Sus scrofa: one gene and its partner. The protein of the gene in region 1 interacts with the protein of each later gene in a biochemical or structural test. Links are inferred from orthologs where the notes say so. Each region holds a gene or a part of one and is shown on either strand. Other genes may lie near its edges. The genes, in order: TLK1 and ASF1A.

Region 1 (4,368 bases):
ATAACCCTAGGGAGAATTAACAGTTTTAACGTACTTCCTGGTTGGTCAAAAAAATAAATATACCTCTGTGACCATACAGGTACTTGAACATGAAGTGTAATGTCCACAGACCATGCTTTGTTATTTCATTAATAGAGGCTCACTGTCTAGGTCACATAAAAACCTATTTGTAATCCAAATTACTAGAAACTACTTCTGGTTATTTGGAAGGTCACATGAAATAATTCCAATCCCTCAAAATTTTCAAACATTAGGAAAACCGTAGAATAGTATAGAAGTTTTTAACTAGGGCTGAAGTCACCTTGGAAACTCAAGCTAGATTGTGCAGCTCTAAAATTACTAATACTGACAATAGACGTCACAGATGAAAAATTCAACGCTGTGTCCTCAGTATCTAGTACAGCGCCTGGCTCACAGAAAATGGCTCAATAATTATTCAAGAAACGAATCAATGAAAAAAGATACATAGTCTTTTTAAAAAAAGTCTCTCCAAGACTATTATTTAGTATCACTCATTACACCACCACTCATAATAACACTATCATTAAGATTCTTAATGAAAGTACAGACAAAAATAAAAGCTTGCTTAAAGAACCAAGTGCTGTTTACAAAACAGATTTTAAAATTCATTTACAAATTTTCAAGGGCAGAAAGAAAAATCACTTAGGGGTACTAAATTTGAGTTAGTCAATAAATAAACTTTTATCTTCTAATATTCAGAACTCAAGGTTGGGGGTGACATGGAAAGGGGAAATGTCTGTCAATGTATTCAGCAGGCTTAATGGATGCCATAAATCAAGGCTTCCCATGAATTTTCTAGAGGAAATTCATGCCAATCTTTGAGCCTATTGTCACTTTCACACATGCTCACAGGAACAAAATGACAAAGAATGCTACGCCTGAACCACTGGATTCAAGGCACAAAACACTTGATTAACAAATGTCAAGGCTCTGAGTTGTAAATACTGACAGATATTTTCAAATAAATTAATCCCACTGACTCCAACATAAATTAAAGCCCCTGGTATCTTTAAAGATTCACCGGACTACGGACTTCCAAACGCTTTTTTGAAAATGTGGCTACAATCTCCCTGTGTGACACTAAGGGAGCGAACATCTCATTTACCAATTGCTGATAAATACCGCTAAGCGTTTTACAAACAAAAAAGCGTTAAATGCGATTCCACGCACATTTATTTTTCCGTCATAAATGTTTGTGCTCTTTCACATTTCATTTTATGTGGTATACTTAAAGTTAAATACAGCAAGTTGACATTTTAGTCAAAAGCACTCTGCTGTCTTACTAGCTGTGTAACTGCTACATCTGGTGGCGGCACACTGGCATGCAAGAAGCCAGAAAACTTAGAAAACAATTGTAACCGATCTGGTGCGTGTTTGCAATAACCTTTACGCAGATATTTCCCACAAACCCCCCGATCCTGTCAGAGAAGAACAGTAGCCTACTCGCTGGAGAAATAATGCACAAACACGCAGGAGGTGATGGCGAAGGAGAGAAAGTTGCAACCATCTGGAGGAGTGGGTTTAAAAGCCTGCCCACGAATCAGTCTGTCGTTTAAACTGCTCTCGGGGGCCAGGCAGGGGATCAAAGTCGGCTCTAATAATTTCAGCGCCTCTCCCCGAAAGGCAGAGACCTTGCAAGCAAGGGGCATCCTCCAGGTCCCGGGCAGCTAAGCTCGCAGAGCGGGGACCGCCTCTAGGGGAGGAGTGCGGGAGGGAAGGGGAGGGGGCTCGAGGATGAATGCTTCACCCAGAGGGAAAACCCACCAGAGACCGGAGGCCAGGAGGTTAAGAGTACTGAGTGTGCGAGCAAATGGAGCAGAAAGGGGCTCGCGTCCGGGGGGAGACCGCCCACCCCAGCAGGACGGGCTCTTAAGGAACCCAGGCGAATCTGCGCGCCTCGCCTCGCCCCGTCCCCACCAGCGCGCACCCCCTACGTCCGTTTCCTCCGCCGCCCGCGAACCACCACCCACAGCCGGAGCACTATCTCCCCGAAGCCTGGCGGCCCCGCGTACACCTCGCCCCCATCCCCCACCCCAGGGTCGGGGAAAGGAGAACTGAGGGCGCGGGGGCCGGGAGCGGGAGGGGAGACCCGCGAGCGGGCGCGGGCGCGACGGCACTTACCTTCCCTGGGCCTCCCGGATGGCGGCGTGTGATTCAGCAGGGACCTGGCCGCCGCCGCCGAGCCCGGGGTTGGAGACGTGGAGAGCTGGGACCAAGATGGCGGCCCCTCCAAACTTCCACTGCTACTTTGGACACTCATCAAGCTACTTTCTGGGAACCCGACTCCCCCCCTGCGACGGCAGCAGCGGCAGCACACCGGCACCCGCCTCCGTCATGGCGGGGGCCGCGCAGAGGGCGAGCGAGAGAGCGAGGGCAGGGAGGGGAGAGTCAAGGGGATGGGGGGGAGGAAACCGAGAAGGAAGAAGGTGGGGAGGGTAGAGGTGAGGGGAGGAGAGGGGACGGGGAGGAGGAAAAGGGGGAGAAGAGAGGGAGCCGGCGGGCGCGCTGGGGAAGAGGCGGAGAGAACGAGCGCGGCGGCAGAGGCGGCGGAGGCGTCGAGGGGGCGCCCGCCTGGGCCGGGGTCGGAGCGCGGGCGGAGCGCCGGCTGCGCCGGCCGAGACTTCCGCGGGCGGAACCTGCCGGCACCTCTGCAGTGCGTCGGCCCCGGCGTCGCCCGGGTGGCGGCGGCAGCGGCGGCGGCGGGCGATGGGTGGCGGCTGAGACGGCAGGGTAACCTCTGCATCAGTTACAGGCGGCGGCGGCGTCACGCGCCGCCTGTGCAAACACTATCGCGAGGCTCCCGCGCCTCCGGTAGCGGCGGCGGCGGCGGCGGCCGCGGGAGCAGGCTTGGGGGAGGGACCTGCCAGGGGTTGGGGGCGGGGGGAGTGGGGAGGGAACGAGCTAGCGAGGGAGGAGACGCGGGCGACGGGTGCCCCTGGCGCACCCGCGGATCACTACGAGGCGCGGGAGCCGGGGGCTGGCGGACTGTCGTGCGCCGAGGCCGCTTCCCCGCGCCCGCCGGGAGAAGGCGCGCCCCGCACGCGCCCCCGCCGCGCTGCACCGGCTACCGTTCCCGCGCCCGCTCCGCTGCCACCTGACTGCCCCTCTCTCCCGCGGAAGCGCGCCTGGCTCCAGACCCACACCCAGCCTGGGGAGAAATGCTTCAGCTCTCTCTAGGCTGTCGTTTCGCAGGAGTTCGATGTGATCATTTCTCAAAATGGAACTGAAAAGTTGAGAGTTGCTTCTTTCTTGTCTCTCTGTACCGTGCAAACAAAAAAAAAAAAACCAAAAACTTGTGTGCGTTTCCCTGTCTGCAGAATGGGAGTGATTACTGAATGAAAGAGCTAAGAAAATAAGTTAGGGTGGGGATGGAAGTAAAACTTTATGAATGTTTTCCAAAAAGAATCTTTATCCGCATTGTGCATTGTATGTGTGGTCTAGCAGTTCTTTGTTTAAAAACAGTAGGTGGAAAATCTACATAGAAAATTTTGATCACTGAATTCACATATTTAGGGAAACCATCCAGGGTTCATCTTCTGAAAGGTTATGTTTTCTAGAAAGTTCCAGTGCCGCTGCAAATTCCCGAAGCAAATTAGAGCATTTGCTAAAATTTATAGAGTGTAACTTTCTATAGACCCACACAGAGATTGGGCATCTTATACAGAAAAGAGCAGTCTAATGGTTCAGGAAAAATACAGCAAGGTTATTGGTCTCTTTAAAAATACCAAGTTGAGTAGAACACTAAAAAGATTATGATATAAAGCAACTGTATGAGCATGAGGAAATGGCATGATTACCAGGGGGACAAAAATGTCATTTCTATTTTTTATTTTTATGACTTTGCATTTCTCCTAGTAATGTTTTGTTCAGATAAACTATCATACTAGAATAGAACCATGGTTGTCAGTTATCTCCAGAAGTAATTTTAGTTTTCTTATGCTTCAGGTTCTTCAGTGAGTTTTTAGTCATGTACTGTTTTTCAAAGTTAAGAAGTACATCTCACAAATTAAGCAACTTTAGTGAGGTATAAGTAACATACAATAAACTGCACATATTTTAAGTCTACAACTAGCTAAGTTTTGGTGTGTACACAACCCTGAAACCATTTCTACAATCAAGATAGTGAATATATCCATCAACCTCCAAAATTTTCTCTACTCCTTTATGGTTCCTCTTCCACTCCACTTCTCCCCAAGTCATCACAGATCTGCTTTCTATCACTTAGTTTGCATTTTCCAGAATTTTAAATAAATGGAATTGTATGGTTTGTACTCTTCTGGCTTCTTTTTACTCAATATAATTGGCTTCTTTTTACTCAATATAATTATTTTGAGATTCATCAACATT
Region 2 (2,913 bases), on another chromosome or scaffold:
AGTAAAAGATATTAGAATATATGGCACACAGTAAAGTGACTATAAGGGTACATTTTCATGAAAGTTGTTAATATAAATACATAATTGTGTTATGAGGTCATACTTTAATTTTTTTTTTAACCATGAATTGCAGTAAAAAGTTTTGAAAACTCCTGACAAACACCCTCTTGGTAAAACTAGAAACTCCAAATCTTAAAACCTGAGGGTAAGACCACATGGACACATAAGGTTATATAAGGTTATGAATGAATGAATGAGTTTTTCTCAGACTTCTGATTGTTTTCTCAGCTGAGTGATATTCTCATTCCCTCTCACCTATGCCTGTCTCTCTTGTGGCATAAGTAATTTGTTCATGTTTATCTTCTCACAGCTATTAAGTATGTTCAAAAAGGGAAAAACGGTTCTAAACTTTCTAGCTATAATTCAGACAGCATCTATAAATGAGGCTAAACAGGAAAAATAAAATCTGTATGTTAGTTTCTTCCTTCCTAATGTTTAAATACTAAATCTTTACATTTTAATTATTAAAATTACCTTATAGAACCATGAAAATTTTAAATGAGATACTCATTTTTAAGTCTTAAACATATGTGAAAATTGGCTGTCAATTTACAAATTGATTAAAAACCTAACACTCTGATGCTAATACAAACCAATCATAATTAATAAGAATAAAAACTCAGCAATGAATTGACTTGGTAATTTGGCTTATATATGCTTTATTTCTAATAAGCACATATTGTGTTCCTGTTATATTAATCACTAAGCTCTTGGTTGGAAATATTACTTTTATTTTCATTTTAATATGTAAACATTTTCTTTTAATTGCAATTAGACAAAAATGAAATTTTCTTTATATTGTTTTAACAGTCGGATGTATTTTTACTTTTAAAGTCTGTGAACTAGTTAGTGGACAATATTTTAATCTGGCATATTAAATTTTTCAAAGTTTAACATTTAGCAAAATTTTGCTTCACAAAGTCACTTTTTAGAATGACAGGAAATATATACAACTTAGAATCCATATTCAGACAAATGCCCCTTTCCCTTCCTCAAAATAAAAGCTTTAAAAAGTGCAGTATAAAAGTTTTAGATATGAAGGCACTGCATAACTCTGCATCATATGGCTGTTGCTCAGCAGCAAAAATAATGAGAATATTCTATACTTAATTTAATGGAGCCTAAGAAACTTTGAGGAAGGACCTAGCTCTCATCAGAGAAAAAGAACCTTTTGGCCCATTTAGTTAATGCACTCCTTGCTTTTAAGAGACTTATCTGGAAAAGCTACCTAGACTATGTCAACCACAAAGATGCCTAATCTTACTGTGCATGAGTGTCGGGGGATGTGGAGACAAGTACTACCTGTGAAAATACATATAGTTCCAAAATAGTAATGTATCTATTATCATAAAGCTTCATAGATCTTTCCAAATCCACTGTTTTTTATATAAATAGTGCCAACAACAGATGACCTATCAAAACAGTTTTAAAGAGTTAAGTTCATAGTATTTTTATAAATCTAATGAATAGGATCAAGTCATTATACTCTTCTATTCTTAAAACTTAGGGAGTTTGTATCTGCTCTGGACAGGTAATAACAATGTATGATTCAAGGAGTGTTCTGATGTCCTCAACTGTTACAACAACAAAAAATCATAGCCAGGGGACCTTATAAACAATTAACAGTACATGAACTGAATAGTATTCATGAGAGGTTTCAAGGTGGCCTGGAAAATCAGATCCTAAAGTTCTTGGTAGCATACAGTTGACTTCAAATCCCTTCTTTAAGGACATGCTGAGAAAAGAATGGAAAGTTGCCCCTTAAATCAAACCAAATTATGTGTTATCACGGGAAGACACATTTTAGCTGAAATGAACTTTGTTCTTTCAGAGGTTTGCAAAATAGTGGTCCAAAGAGTATTGTCCAAGAGGCTAAGACATTTCTACAACCTGGTCTAATGATTCATTTTTCTTTATAAGTGCTTTAATTACATATAGAGGAGAAGAAAATAATATATATGTTTTAATCAGATTAGTTTCAGAACAAATAAAATAACACATTAGAGAAAAAAATTACTTAAAAATAGTTGTATTTATATTCCACAATTTGCTCAAATACTGGTTTTCTTATAAACTTTCTACAGGATGTTTTAAAACAAATTCTTCACATTGTATCTTGACTATGTACTTACGGAATTTCAGGGAAATAGTTCTGTGTGTTTTAATAGCTTAATTTGTACTAAAGGGATGGCGGGTGGTCACATGCAGTCCATGTGGGATTCTAACATGACATTTAGTGAGTTTTCTGACGTGGACCATCCCTTTGATGCTGAAGGTAATGCATCTGTTGAAAGAAGTGATTGTAGATTTGGATTACTGCTCTCTGGATCTTCCAGTTTCTCTGTGTTATCTTCCCAGTTAATGTGGAATCTTGTGACTCGGGGATTTGATGCCAAAATATTCCTTTGAAGCTACAGGAAGAAGGAAACATATAAATGGTAAACGCTAAGAAAGTTAGATAACTATATACAAATAGACCTTAATAAGAATGGTTCTTTATTTAGTACTCCTAAGGACTAAGTTCACATACAGAGGCAAAAGTCAAAGCACCTTAAACATAACTAATAAATAAGGACCAGGGCTGCAGCAAGGAAATTACTCTAGCCTAAAGGAAACTAGATATGGAGGACCTGAGGGAATTATCCAGATCTTTTTCTTAATCCAACATAACATCCAACTCTATACTTGTTTCCTAAAAGGAAGCATATCTCTTGAATGCTTCAGAGGAAACTTTATTTAACAAATTAACATGCTTTCTAGCTTGATGTTGTGTTTCTTCAGTAAAATTTCCAAGGAAAATGAAAAATTTTTCCAAATATAACCTCTCATTATTAATGGTTTTCTACCTTTTAA

What was found.
Region 2: of the proteins of TLK1 (region 1) and ASF1A, one has a biochemical effect on the other in vitro, tested with the Homo sapiens proteins (3 studies listed by BioGRID). The link is inferred for Sus scrofa from reciprocal best matches to the Homo sapiens genes TLK1 and ASF1A.

Annotation. Positions count from the first base shown.
Region 1 is NC_010457.5:77,326,670-77,331,037, forward strand, and holds the start of TLK1 (serine/threonine-protein kinase tousled-like 1), read right to left. Parts: upstream 2,880-4,368; 5' UTR 2,282-2,879; coding exon 2,143-2,281; intron 1-2,142. UniProt on the Homo sapiens protein: Rapidly and transiently inhibited by phosphorylation following the generation of DNA double-stranded breaks during S-phase. This is cell cycle checkpoint and ATM-pathway dependent and appears to regulate processes involved in chromatin assembly.
Region 2 is NC_010443.5:43,199,640-43,202,552, forward strand, and holds the end of ASF1A (histone chaperone ASF1A), read right to left. Parts: intron 2,472-2,913; coding exon 2,259-2,471; 3' UTR 700-2,258; downstream 1-699. UniProt on the Homo sapiens protein: Histone chaperone that facilitates histone deposition and histone exchange and removal during nucleosome assembly and disassembly.